Linked DNA regions of Lepisosteus oculatus. The protein of the gene in region 1 interacts with the protein of each later gene in a biochemical or structural test. Links are inferred from orthologs where the notes say so. Each region holds a gene or a part of one and is shown in the gene's direction. Other genes may lie near its edges.

Evidence for each region.
Region 2: the proteins of nuclear receptor subfamily 0 group B member 2 (region 1) and esrrga form a complex in vitro, tested with the Homo sapiens proteins (2 studies listed by BioGRID). The link is inferred for Lepisosteus oculatus from reciprocal best matches to the Homo sapiens genes NR0B2 and ESRRG.

What each region holds. Positions count from the first base shown.
Region 1 is NC_090706.1:7,321,628-7,329,289, forward strand, and holds nuclear receptor subfamily 0 group B member 2, read left to right. Parts: upstream 1-2,826; 5' UTR 2,827-3,316; coding exon 3,317-3,875; intron 3,876-4,787; coding exon 4,788-5,029; 3' UTR 5,030-5,500; downstream 5,501-7,662. UniProt on the Homo sapiens protein: Transcriptional regulator that acts as a negative regulator of receptor-dependent signaling pathways. Specifically inhibits transactivation of the nuclear receptor with which it interacts.
Region 2 is NC_090697.1:62,010,575-62,018,236, reverse strand, and holds the start of esrrga (estrogen-related receptor gamma a), read left to right. Parts: upstream 1-3,160; 5' UTR 3,161-3,319; coding exon 3,320-3,375; exon of another isoform or gene 3,376-3,379; intron 3,380-7,662. UniProt on the Homo sapiens protein: Orphan receptor that acts as a transcription activator in the absence of bound ligand. Binds specifically to an estrogen response element and activates reporter genes controlled by estrogen response elements.

The sequences.
Region 1 (7,662 bases):
TCTAGGTAAAGGCATAAATAGAGTCACTACATCAGCAATAATATACTCACATTGAGTTAATAGAACTACCAAATAACTTCATATTTAATAAAATATAGAAAACAATTTTATGACAAGAGCCTCTCGTCTCCATCCAAGATGACTACTTCCCTATGCAGTAGCTGATTTTGTCACATATTGATATTCAATCCATTAATCTTCAAGATATCAGAGACGTATGCAACAAAAAACAATGGACCTAATGGTAAGCTACTGTGATGCATTCTGTAGTTGCCCACTTCATATTCTACTGTAAATGTACAGGTGTTTTTTCTTGATGACATGTTAGTTTATTCTGTCTTGGTAAAAGAAAGATATGCTGGTTAAGGTTGGAATGAAATCTTCACCAGATATACTGTACATATTAATAGCTGTAGTATTGGAGAGTTAGTTAATGCTCCTAAAAATAATATCATTGCGTGTGACCAATGTCAGAAAAATAAATGTATTTTTGTTCCCCAAAAGTAAAAAGTGACTCTAAGAAACAATGACCGTGGTAATGAGTTCTTGTGTTTTTTTTAATATGCTGTATTAAAAAATGTGCTGTATTTAATGTGCTGTAGTTGGACAACATCAGGATACAGAGAACAAAGTAATTACAGTAAAATCAATGTACACGAATGTTAGCAAGTGAATTTAAATATCCTTTTTTAAATGTTTTGGTTTTCAGAACAACATATCTGCATTTTCCCAGATGGAATGGAACACTGGTGAAAGGCCACTATGTTGCTGCAATTCCTGAGTTTTGTTCCTCCCCAATAAATCAATTGCCTTATCAGGAGAAGAGCTCTGTGCTAGGCACGACTGAGATTAAAAAAGGGATACTTTACTGCTTTGTCTCTGATTCAGAGCCTTCCTTCTGGGATGATGGCTGTTTGCATTAGCTCACTTTTATTGACTATACCATCAGGAAATGGTAATCTGATTATGAATGGCATTCAGTCAGGAGTGCCCAGCAGGAGAATTGGCGCCAGGAGTTGTGCGTTAATCCACAGGTGCAGCATTGTTGGAAAACCAAGGGAGGGGACAAGAGAATAATTCTTTATTTCTGTTGGTCTCACTCTTCACCAACTGAACCTCCTAAAACGTTCCGAAGACAGCAATGATTTTATGCCCAAAATGTGCATAATGTAATTGCATTAATAACTATGCTGAAAAGAGAAGAAAGAAAACACAACGTTTCGGCTGTGGAGCCTTCTTCGAGTGTCACACCCAAGTGAGGCTCCACAGTTGCAACGTTGTGTTTTCTTTCTTCTCTTTTCAGCGTGGAATAAACCTATCACTTGTTCCTTTGCAGCCTACGCATGGTGACGCAGCTGCCCACCTGAACTACTTCAATAACTGCTTCACACTCAACCTTGATGCAGTTTTTTTAATGGAGTTTTCATTTTTAAAATACAAAAGAAAAAGAATATACAAAAAGAAAGAAAGATCCCACACTAAGAGAAAATAGTAAGCAGGCCAATGTGCCATGTTTTTCAGACAAGAAAAATCATCTGAACGTGCTGTCTTAGTTCTTCAATTAGAAACAAGTAATCTGGCTGTAATCTAGTAACCTTACAGTACATCTTACAATAAGCCCGTTTCTCTGAACAAAAATCTAACAGTGGTTCTTTCAAGTGAAACCCATTCACCAAGACGTTTCACACCAAGGAAAATCTAAAATTCAACTGCTATGTAAGAATTGTGCTGTACTTCTCTTTCATTTTGAAAAAGACGCTCCGCTGGTTAGTACATCACACCAGTCAAGTGTGATTATTAATACAACACTCCTTAAAACTCCTTAGTGTATAAAGGTACGAGTTTTTAGAAAAACAAATTGCTTGGACTAGTTGAAACAGAATAATTCACCATTTATGAGTGTCAAAAAAGAAAATGTGAGGTCTCAGACTCAGTCAAGGGAAATGATGACGCAACCTTAATTTCTGCTGATTAGTTAAGCAGTTGAAAAATACAAATGACCTTCAGTTCAGTGTCTATTCCTGACCCAGATATAATATCTGCAAAATACAAGTCTATTAGTAATCAATGCCCTTTGTGGTTTGTATACTGGACTGCCTATACCAAGGTTCTGAACAGTTTATTTCACACATATATTGTACTGAATGTGTTGATATATGCTGTTCACAGAATGACTTGCATTGAACAGGGATGGAGGTACAAGCTTATTTTAAATTTAACAAGATGAATAAAAATAATGTATTTTATCAGATTAAAACGGGGGAGTTGTCAGTACCGAATATTATATAGTATAGCATTATTATTAACCTAATATAATTATTCTCATAACAAACTATATTTAGAATTTTCACTTCAGAATTTCCTGTTTTTCCTACAAAACACGTCGTTTGGTGTTCTATTATACAATTATAAATCCTTATAAATTTCTTACATGTTGTTAAGCTTTCAGAAGTAATCCATCTATCCATTTCAGGGTGATTCTTTTTCCTATTGATTTTTCTGTACATCACGAATATCTTGCATTTTCAACAGTATCACTTATGCATTGTAGCTCTTCAAAACGTCTACCTATCCCCTTGGGTTGAAGTCAATGGATGTGACGTCTCCTATTCTTGAAACCAAAATCTCTATCGCTCCGTATTTTATACTCGGAGGAAAACAGTTCCAGTTTTAAGTTCGTATTCAGCACCTTTTAAGGTTGCCGAAAAGGGTTTGAAATGAATAATTTCGCATCTGCGAGAGGCGATATACTACTCAAGGACGCATCAGACAGCTCTTTACATGCATAATATCTTAACTGTTTGTACTGGCTGGCTTCCAGCTCATTAGGTGTTAGCTGGCAGCGATAGTGGCCATATACTGTCTGCTTGATTACTCCCACAGTCCTTGGTAGCTTGGTACAGGCTGGGTTAATGGCTGAAGTAAATAAGATAAGTGACCTACTCCCAACCACCCCAACGTCGCCTTGTACCATCAACCCGCCGATCTTCATTGAGAAAACCTTATCTTCTCCACGTGGAGCGAACCTACCTGAGCCAAGCAGTCCAGGGTCATGTTGTTTTTCAGTGAGCAAATGTTATTCAGCTAGGGTCAAGGCTGGCTTGCTGTACCTTAGGGGGAAGCCTCTATAAATAGGTCTGGGACAGCAGAGCTGGAGACAGGCGTACGCACGGCGGACAGAGCTTTTCTGATCCAAAGCATTTAAGTAGCTGCGCGGCCAAGTGGTACAGCGCGCAAGGGCGATTTACAGGCTACCTGCGCGTTCACCGTACCAAATTCTTTTAAGCCTCGTTTAGTTGAAAAGATTAAGTAAACGATGTCTTGCCTCGAAGAGCCCAGCGACAGATGCCAGTGTTCCGGCTTCAGTGTTCGGCAGTCCAACGCCATCCTTTACAATATTCTGAGCCGCAAGGACAGCGACCACCTCGCCCACAGCTACATCACGTCTCCGCACAGCTGCCACTGCGAGATGCGGCGGACTGTTGGCCTCAAGAACCCGGACGAGACGTGCCAGGTAGCTTCCGGCGTGCTGGTCAAAACGATCCACTTCATGAAGAACCTGCCTTCCTTCTACCAGCTCCCACTCAAGGACCAGCTGGCTCTGCTGCAGAGCGGCTGGGCGCCGCTGTTCATCCTGGGGCTGGCGCAGGAAGGGGTGGCCTTCGACGTGACGGACACGCCGGCCGCCAGTTTGCTGAAGAGAATCCTGCTCAAGGACCAGGACCAGGACCAAACCCGGCTGGAGCACTCGGACAGGGCGCAGCCCACGCTGGACGCCGTACAGAAGCTGAAGTCTTGCGTCAATAAGTTCTGGAGCCTGGATATGAGTCCAAAAGAATACGCCTATTTGAAAGGAGCGATTCTTTTTAACCCCGGTAAGTATACTAGCGAATTATTATCACCGTGCTTATTGATCTTCTTGTACCAACGGGTTAAATAAAGTAATAAGTGTCAATTCCCGAATAGTTTTCTCACATAATTGTTGGTAGATGGATTAGTTAGTAAGGAATCCACACTAAGTATTTTAATTGGAATGTATGAGTGGATGAATGTCCTGCTTATTAATGTCTTTTAACGGACAAAATAGCTTGTTGACATGGCTTAAGAAAAGGCTGTTTCGAAAATTACACATTGATGGACATTGGCCCAAAGTTTCATCCTTCGTTTACTACTATAAATCTTCTGCCCAAAAGAGTCCCATTTCCCCCCCCCCAAAAAGGAAATTCTACCTAATTAGGTCTACAAGCCACATTCATTACTTGTCCACTGGGATAAAGTGCAGAATTAGCTAATTTCTCTTGAAGGGGGGAAAGTTAAAATAGGAAATAAAAAATGAGTATGGTAAAGTGGCACAGAATTACTTCGCAAGAATCGGACCAACGCGTTTGAAGTCGTTGTTTCCAAGCTGTCAAAAAGGCCACCGTTTCCTGAACACAATTCGTCAGGCAGCCCCCAGCGGGGAAAGTCTGTTATGAAGGGGTTTGTACCACATTTTCAAACTGCTGACACTGTGGGTATTACAGCACACGTCCGTAACGGGTGTTGGCATCATTTGCCATTACTTGGTCGCAAAAGGATAAACTACACATGTAAACCCTTCTGTTTCATACGTGTAGTAGTTAGGAGAAACACTTAATAGAGTTGATTGGTTTTCCCCCGCTTCGGGAGAGAGATTAGTGCGTTCTCGGTGGTATCTAACCAGCACAGTTTTGCAACCCCATAATTCGAATTAAGGCTGACTGCGTGTAGACGTTTAAAAACGCCTTCAATTCGGTTATTTTTTTCAGATGTCCCGGGCTTGAAAGCGTCTCTGTTCATCGAGAGCATGCAGCAGGAGGCCCAGAGAGCTCTTCGCGAGGTGCTGCTCCCTCTCCACCCGGGAGACCGCGGCCGCTTCGCCCGCATCCTCCTCACCGCCTCCGCGCTCAAGACCATCACGCCGAGCCTCATCACCGAGCTCTTTTTCAGACCTGTCATCGGCCAGGCGGACCTCTTAGAACTACTCGCCGAAATGCTTTTCGCCAGATAAACGAGGATACAGGAGCTCAGGTTGCTTAAACTCAACAACACCCGTCGCGGAGCCGCTGATTTGAGGGGACAGTGTTACAGAGAGCTTGGTGCACTCTACCTGGGAACACGCACGTCATGTCCTGCTATTAAAACTGTCATGTTATGGTCTAAAACTTGGGCAAAAAGGTCCGCTAAAATCATGCGAAGTGAGCAAAGAGACATTCTCGCCTTGCGAGTTTCAAACGGCGACGATACGCAGAAAATCGTTTGAGAGGAACAGCCTGGCTGTATTACAGAGGGGACTCACTACTCGATCATTTCGGTGTGTGAATTTGGCGTATCTCTCATACGCTGTGCCAAGCTTTCGATGTTATGATTTAGATATAGATCTTTCAGCTGAAAGGGCAAACCTGGTTTTGTTGGCTTAACAGAATCTTCTTGGAGAAAAACGTCACTTTATTGATCCGAATCACTATTTTATGTTTTTTTTTTTAAAAAACTCCTTTAACACGTCCGTAAAAAATCCGTGTGCATGAGTGTATGTGAATAAATTATATATTTTTTAAAAAAAGTTTCTGTAACACGTCATGAAAAACGTGTTTAATAAAAATGTGTTGATACCCCTTTGTCTTTTTATAGCGGCAAAAAAAAAAAAGTGAACACGGCCGATTCAAAAGAGTCGGATTGGAGAACCATACAAAATCTGGACTAAAGCGAAATTTGAATGAGCCCGAAAGAAAAATGCGATGACTTATCTGAACAACCTCTCTCTACCTGTCGAGGAATTCAATTTCCGCCGTGAACGGTCGTTTCGAATAAATCAAGGGTGGTGACGCGATTTCACACCCCGCCGTTCAGTATCCGGAAGGTTTTGGTTCAACAATGCCACCAAAACAGATGATTTTTTTTAGAAATATCGCGGTATAGACTATTTCTGGCGAGTATGATGATTTGTACTGTTGACTTTGAGGGTGATGGGAGAGGCCCATTGCCAGAGACGGCTCTTGGGCAATACCACCGCAACCAAGCAAGGCGCGGGGCTGGGCCCGTAGATACCGGTTCCTTGTGCTTGTCGCCTGGTGACAGGAAGTCCTCTGCCCCGGTGTTCCGCGCAGTAAAGCAGAGGTCAATGACACGCAGGTTAAGGAGCAGGTTCAGGTACGCTCCTTCTCCTCCCTCTGTAAGGCGGGCGTTTGTGTGCGATTCCTTGCCGTCACCGTCGGAGCTCCAAGTGCGGGGGGTTTGGGGGAGAAAAACAGAATGTAGAGCGGGATTTGAGCTGGGGAAAGACTTCTCCATCTCTTAGATAACATTCATCTGTCATGCGGTGTATCTGGGCAGCAAAGGAAGAAGTAAAAAGTTGAAAGACGAAACGCGGCGTTTGGGCTGTCGAGAATTCTTCAGGTGTGTGCGTGTGCGGGAGAGAGTTTTTAGAAATATGCGGGGAATTAAGTTTGACTCGTTCCCTCTGTAGCGTACACACGCTGACGCCACTGCCCATCGGCCCATCTGAGCAAAAAAAAAATACGTTACAGGGCCAGCGTAATTAATACATGATGGGCTACGTCAGTGAAACAAGGTTTTATTACCTCCAATAAAAACGATACATTGCTAAGATCCGAGAGTCCAAGTAAACAACGGTAACCTTCCCCCGGACAGACAGGGCGGCGGTTCAATATGCGCTGCTCTCCCTTAAATCGTCATCAAATAACAATAAACCAATTTACACTTCAGTGCTACAGTAATATAGGCAGTTTTTTTTTTATCAGTGCTCGATGCTGAATGCTCGATTCATACATGCATTTATAAGACCAAGGCTTGATTTCTGCAGCTCTTTACTCTATGGGCTCCCTCACACTCTCCTCAGTCAATTCCAATGTGTCCAACACCCTACAGCTGGACTTGTAACCCACACCAGACCCTGGCAGCACGTCACTCCTACACGTGAGTCTCTACAGGGGTTGCCAGTAAAGTCACGTATTCAATATAAGATCTGGTTAGTGACCCTTAAAGCTCTTAATAACCCGCCTCCCTCCCATGTCTCTGAACTGCTCCATGTTTACACGCTCTCCTGTAGGATCGTCAGCTGAGGCCCGTCCTTTGATCACTGGATCGGGGACTAAATCTCGGACTTATGGTGACCGTGCTCTTCCACCGCCTCTTCCAGACAAACTTAGGTCCTTGACACTTATTTTGCTGGTTTAAACTCACCTTTTCACTCGAGCCTATATCTTGTTTCATTGTTTTTAACTTTGTATTGTATCCCCCCCCCACACACACACAATGTACAGCGCCCTTGGGTTTGGAAAGGCGCATTTTAAAATAAAACACAAGAGAAAACGACGCTTCGGCTGTGAAGCTTTCTTCAGCTGTGAGGTCTTACATCTGAAGAAGGCTTCACGGCCGAAACGTGTTTTCTCTCTTCTCTTTTCAGCATGGAATAAACCTATTACTTGTTCCTTTGCAGACTACGCATGCTGACACAGCTGCCCACCTGAACTACTTAGAAAATAAAAGTTGTTGTTGTTATCATTATAATCGCATGCGGTTATCTAAAAGCACGTTTTTCATATTGTCAGCTATTCGAACGGAATGGAACATCATTCCGGATGTTCTTCTCTTTGATTTTCTGCAAATGCGTTACATAACCAG
Region 2 (7,662 bases), on another chromosome or scaffold:
TACCAGGTTTTAAAGCAGATGAATAATGCTGAATGCATCCCTTAGACTATGTCTTCTATTTGTCTGATGTGCTTAGCTATTGCAATTTTAACCACAGTTTTTTTTTTTAAATTAGTAGTCTTTTTAAAAATTCTTCATAAATCCATTTTAACTTAGTGGACCTACTTGCATTTCTCACAGAGGAGGATGTGAGACATGATTCGTGTACAGAAAAAAAAAATTAAAAAGACATCTTACAAAGGTAATCAATGCTTGCAACTAGAAGATACAAAGGAGGTGATTTCATGATATGTTAGGAAAAAAACACCTTCCTTCATAATCCTTATTTTGCACATTACCAGATATAAAATATTTTTCAAGAAAGATTGAAAAAACATTAAATAAAGGATCTAAATGCTGCATCTACAGTAACAGTAATCTGTCAGAATTATTCTAATTTTTCACAACTTAAATCAATGCTCATTTCATAACACTTATTTAGCAAATGTCCCTTTCACGGCACAGACCCTGTGGTTTTCAGAAATAATACCTAATGGCAAATACAGTATGTGCACATTTGTATGGTGAAAATGACTCTTTTTATAATTGGTTATAAGATGTACATCATGGCATTCCATTATATTTTCTGATGAGATGCAGAAGAAATGTATAATATAGCAAGAAACATATATAAACATGTGGGTATATTTATGTGCTAAGTGCAATATGATATGTACATAAGTTTGGTGTTGTTTAATGTTTCTGTAAAGAGTTGGTTGAGCTGAAGGTAGCCTGGTTCTGTGTGGTATTATTGATGTTTTCTTCATATTGTGTAAAGATTGTGTCAAAGCATTAAAAGATTATTTTTGGTGCATATACAGTACTGTACACAAGTATGAAATTTAAACTATATGGACTTATTTATGTAAACGTATAGAAGCAAAATTAAGTAGATGTATTGCAGAAAACTGAACAGTGTTGAAATGTAGATTGGGAACCCACAATGATTCATTGTGCATGAAATCCATAAAGACAATTACAGCTCCGATGGCACTACTGTCCTGCTGAATTCATTGTAGTGGTCTAGAGAACAGTGAAAACACTTTAGTACTGTAAGTGAATACTCAAACTTATCCTCCCCTTTCTCCTCACATCTCTTTATTTCAAAATTATAGTTTTAGTTATGGCATTTATTTACTTGACCATATTTTACACAATCTCTGATAAATATTAATTAAATATCAATTACATTTAATTTGACAAGTTTAGGAATTCAGATGAATATACTGTAGTAATAGTAATATGTTATTATTCATTATTTTTTACACCAAGCTACTTTTGTAATTAAACAGAGATGATATTATTTTTTGTATTTATTTCTTATTGTGAACATTATGGTTTATGTCTAAATATGGCTCACATCTGCCCTGTTTGAAATGAACTGCAGCTTTAGAGGGTAAAAATGCATCTTTAAAATCTGATTCACAACACAGACATCTGCATTCCTAAGAACACAAGACAGAGTGTGTGTTAAATACAAGTAATCAAATAATATGAAGTTACAGACAGATTCATAATTATTAACAACAACAGTATTTATTATTATTAAATTGTTTAACTTCAGCACTCAAACCCCTTTTCTTTTTTTGTTTTGCCAGCTCAAAATGCCTGTAGTCTTTTGTTTATCTGCAAATTCAGCATGGGGTGTAGCTATAAATTCTTACTAGCAATTAATTTCAGAAGCAAAATTATAGCCCTTAGAAATTAGCTGAACTGTTGGAGATTGTGTTTTTGAATCACAGTGTTTGAATTGCCCAATAGTATATCCTAATGGCAGTTAAGGATGCATGAGAATTCATTTTATGTTTAGGAATTCAAAATAAAGGTAGGAGATGGGACATGTAGGTTATTGCAAAAAGCGAAATATCTTTACTTGTTCCAGGAGGATGGGATTCAAATCCCTTGTAGTATAAAGATAAAATGTAGAGACAATTTCCCATTCGGACACGGTTGTGAGATACAATAGTTAGCAGACTGGTGTAGCTCCTGAATTTTCTGATCAGTAGGGAATAGAAGTCCTCTGAGAAAGCAGCAATATATTCCCTGCTGGTTGTGGAAATTCAGCGGTTGTCTGAGACAAAAAATATCAAGAGAGCACAGAAAATATGTGCAGGAAGGGTTTAATAACAAAGAACGAGGTCTGACTTAGTTTTATTTTGTTAAGGTTTTTTTTCTATGTATAATTCCTATTGTTTTGTTTTAGGAAACAGAGCAAATATGAACCCCTGATAACAGTTACTTGGTTGTGTTAGTCAGAGGTTCTTTGGTTTTAATTCTAATACCAAAAGACAAACTGGCTTGAGTTTGACTTTGTTGTACAGCTTGGGTAAGTTAATTAGCTTCTTCGCTTAAACCTAGAAGCCAGCATTCATTGGCATTAAATTAGTTTTACCAATTTACTGTCTTCCATGTTGTGAATGCCTTAATTAAACTTTACAGTGGACGGTTACATTGCTTTAATTAAGTCGTTTTTTTCCCTTTTTTTACTGCTAACTGGTCCTATTTTGTATTTCAATCAAAAGTCAGTCTAATCTGGAAATTTAACTGAGGCCTTAAAACCCATAGTTTTTTTTTCAACAGATTATGTGGCCACAAAGCTCTGATACAAAAGTTGTTTTTTAGTGCTCATAGCCCCCTACACCACAACTGGTAATTAGCAAGAGTTTATATTTTTTTCTTTCCTTATCAATGTTGATATGTTTGTATTTATTCATGTATATTAAACACGTGCACACTCAGACATACACAAATGATGTTCATCATGCATCATATTTCTCATTCACAATGGTTTGTGTTTGTCAAAGTCTGAAAGGTTTAATCTCTAAGCTTGACACCTTGAACTGATAAGCATTGTCTTAAAAAAGAGAATGTGCTGGTTCTTTAAAGCCCCCCTTTCTTTCTCTCACCCTGTTCCATCTCTCTGTCTTGTCTCTCTCTCTCAGGCACACTCTCTCTCTTTGTCTCTCTCCACCCACTCCACCTGCTCAGTTCCCCTCAGTATGTGCAGGCAGTGCCCTGTCCAGTTCCAATTGGCTAGGAAGCCACCAATCTGGCGTCTGGATGGGCCAGAGGGACTACATATGCAAAGCTTTACTTCATATTAATGAGCTCCAATCGTGGCTTTAAGTCCTTGATTAGAAGAGTGCGAGAGCTTTTGGTCCCAACTGGCTGTGCCTATAGGCTTGTCACCAGGAGAACATTTCTGTTAATTGCACTGCTCTGTCAGGAAAAACTTTGATTTATAGAGGGGGTTTGCTCAAATTATGGTTGCAGAGCGCACATGGATTCGGTAGAACTTTGCCTGCCAGAGTGTTTTTCCCTGCACTCCGAAGAAGAGTAGGTACATTTTGATTTTTATTCTTCTCTTTGGAAATTATGCCTAATGTTTTACCTATAGACAGTTTTGTTTGTCTTAAATTCTTGCTGTTGCATGTGTACTTTTGTTTTCTGTGTTGTGTTGTGAGCTATATCTGTCTGTCTTGTGTTGTTGACTGACAATGTGCTTCCCTGTAGTGTGTACTTACTGCTCAATACATAGCACAGCTACCTGTCAGGCAAAGTACTGAAACAGTAGCATTGCCTTGTACCTCTGGAAGAAAAAGTGAGCACATTCTTTTTACCATTTAAACCTCACAGATTTCTATAAAAGGCAAATATTTTTTCAACTTAATTTATACTCTGTGTTTTATCTGTTATTAATTTTTATTGATACCATGTCCTTGAGATTTTTTAAAAGAGAGAGCACTTAGAAAAAAAGGTATACTCCAATACCATAAAAAGCTTGAATTTCACAGACAAGCTGCTTACAGTGTGGCCTGGTTCAGCTATTAACAGTGCCACATATTTACATTATTGAGAGCTATGGGGTTATGGTGTATGTTGGTGGGGGGCAGGGGGGGGGGGGGGGGGCAGGTGCTGAATCGAGCCTGCATAGTTCATATAGAGAAACTAGGTTTTCCAAAGTAAATGTATTTTGTTTTTGTCAGATTGATACAATTTCAATTTTAATTACTTGTTTGATGCTTATTTTGTGTTTAATGGAAAAAAATCATAAACTTTGCATTTACTTGTATACATTTTTTATCATAGGTGTCAGCCACTTGTAATTGTTTTCATTCAACAGCTGTATTTGCAGCATTAAGTGAATTGAAATAATAATCGCGTTTGTGCTCAAAGAATTGACAAATAAACAACAAACAGCTAATATGGATAAGTCTGACTGACACTGCTGGGTGTGCTTGCAATTGCCTAGATGTTTGCAAACTGTCATGGGTTCATATAAACCTGATATCTTAAAAACACACACTGGAAACATAACATTGGTCTCTCTTTAAGAAAAGAAACACCAAGACTATTAACCCCTGCCCTTAGTTACATTAAAACACCGATAAGACCATAAAAGTATTGTTCCACCCTTAGTCCATTTAGAGATTAGAAAGAAATAAAGTGTGCCGGAACTGCTGTGTTACAGGTATGCTGCCATAAAGTCCTACCAGCTTTATCCCAGTCTTTTAGACAGTTAGATTAAGGCAATTAACATTAGATATTGAGGTGCACTTGAAGCACTTTCAGAACTGTAAAATAAACACTAGCTTTAATGTGTAACTTTCAAAAATGTGATTGTATTCATTACTACATTATTCTAGCTTCTCAGTAGAATAATTGTCCTCTGTCTGACTTCTCATTCTTTAGGTCTTTAGGAATTAAAATGCTACATCTATGGATACACTTAAGATAACACCAGCATTGAAAAATAAATATGCATTTATAGAAAATGCATTGATTAATCTAATAAGTTCTGTTTTCCCATTTTCTTTTTTATTATTAAGCTCTTTTTCTGATTTTACCTTCTTATGGCTAATTTACATGTTTGGTCTTCATAAGCTTCTTGATGTATATGCTTTTATATTGAATTTGTACCTATACCTTTTTTATGATCTAAGATTTAATGTCTTCTCACTACTTCTTATTTTTGAAGTAAATCAATGTATAATAATATAGTAATGTATAATAATTAGTGTTAAGTTCAATAATATATGGATATATTGGGATACATTGATATATGATATATACATTGAATAATAATGTAATTATTGCACTTCTTTCCTGAGATTTGTTTTTTTATGAAACTTTTATTGTTCACCACTTTATTCAGATTAGCACAAACATAAGAATTAACGTAGAATGGGGTTCATATGTGGAAAGCCATCCTGTATTTATGTACAAGTGTAAATTCATTTTTTAAGGTTGAGGTTTTCCATTTCAATAATTATATAAATAATTATGCAGACTTAATTTCTGTAATTTAGAACAAATGTGAGATAACATTAAAATGCACATTTTTGCTAAAATTTTACATTTTGTCACCAAGTTCAAATGATTTCAACAATGATTGCTACATTTACTGTAAAATGTCGATTTATTTTAATATTAATTCTTAGTTTGCAATATTTATGATAAGATTATAATTACTGTTTTTGTTTAAATGCATGGAATATATAGAAACATTAAATCTAAATATAGCCTTTACAAAATTGAATTGCTGTACAAAAAATATATATAACGTATGGTGGAAATAGCAGCAGTGTATTTTAGGGTTGTTATATTACTTTAAAATCATGTAAGTAACATGATAAATCCTTATTAATTGTTTTTTTTTCATATTTTGTAAATTTTCTACAATATTATAAAATTTACCTACAACGTTTATTTCAAACAAAAATATCATTTGAAAGCATAAACATGTGGAGTCTGTCTGTCCAATCCAGAATATACTATTTAATTTAAAAATGCAGTGGAAAGAAAAAAAATAGCTAAATAAAGGTAGAACAAACCTATTCCTCATTGTTATGTTATAATCAATTATATAATCCAAATAGATAGCATCTATGTTTTGTTAGCGTATTGAAACACTTGGTGCTGTTTGAAAAAGATTCATCATTTTCAGCCACACAGATAATTCCCCTCTAATAATTAAACATTATTTCTCGTGTCATGCCTCTGTAGCTAAGGAAAGGTCTTGATAGCCTTTCACTTAAACTTTTCCTGAAAAGAAAGTATGCATTTATTTTTTCCTTTGCTGGAGAGTGAGAATTAGCAAGTAAAGCATAATCGTCTGATTCAGTTCCTTCACTGCTAATAAAATCATTTGTTTAATAATAGTAATACCTCTTAAATTATGTTAAAATTAATCTACCTCATTTATAATGTTAAAATCAGTCTTCTCACACTTGCTGTCTTACGGTGCGTATACCTTAAATACTGTATTTTGACCGATGCATTTCCCCGTTGTAAAATGTCTAGCTCACTGCCTTCATCAGACTGCTGTCTGACTGTTCATTGTCTTTATTGCGTCCTGCTTATTTGAATGTGTGTTGCCACTTCCCCTTATTCCAAGGAGTCTGGAGCATTCCAAGGGTAATTAACCAGAGTTAAAAGCAAAAACCCTTGTGAGTAGCCAGTCATCCTGGTGGTAGGCTGTATTTTTCTCCTTTTGTTTAGGAGGTGCAATAACTACACTCCCCCCAACCGCTTTAAAAAAAATGACCTGGCTGTCAGTGTAAAAGATTTATATTTAATCTATTACCATTGGGTATTCACACATATATCTGATTTTAGGACAACTTTTTAAAAAAACAGTACAAAATAAATTGCCCAGATGAGATGTCTGTGCCATAAATGAAGGAGCACATGCAGTAATTATGCCGTACCATATTGGAGTGGTGACAGAATTGGTACATGTGAAAGGGAGACTTGCTACTGTTTTATTCCTCACCTTTAAGTGAAATAAGATCTGCTTTCACTTTCTAACCTGCACTTCCTCCTCTATTGTTCAGAATTAAAGGAATGTTGTCTGTTTAAGGACAGTTCCTTTGGAATGTCAGAATAGTTAGGAAAACAAGTTGCAAGTAAGGAAAGTACAAATTAGGTTTTTAGTTACTGGAATAATTAGTAAATCACTTCAGTAAATTACATTCATATATATAACTCCAATGCAAGTACAGCTTGTTATACTATTAAGCCTTCTGTAGATACTACTAAGATTTAGTTTAGTTTTTTCTTTATTACATATATAAAAAACAGTGCAATATATAAGTACACTAATTTATTTGAACTGTTATTGGCATATTTTGGGGCTGCTCTCATACATAAAGTGGACTTGGCTTTTCTGGGAGTAATGTAGCACATTTTTCAAAACAAATTGGAGTAAAAGTACCAGATTGTATTCTGAAGCAGCAGTTAAAAGTTCAAATCTGTTTGAATAACAAATTTAGAGGGTAACGTATTTACATTTCAGAAGTCTAAATTCTGCAGCTCTGGATTTGAGTGAGCAGGTTTATTCCATCTAGCATTCGGGGTTTAGCATTGTGCCTAACTTTCACTTGGGGACATGCAGGCAGCCGGCAACAATAAAATGTTGATTTCCTCTGAAGAGATCCCGTGTGAGGGAATGTGTGTTTGTGTGTGCGCCTGTGTGCCAGGGAGTTAAAGCTCTCCAGAGGAAATGTGTGATTACGCGAAGCTAAGTTTGTGCCGTTTTTATCTCTTTTACATCCACTGGCCTTGTATTAAATTGTCATTGTCCTGAAGCAGAGGGGAGAAATGAATTGCAGCTCTCGACGC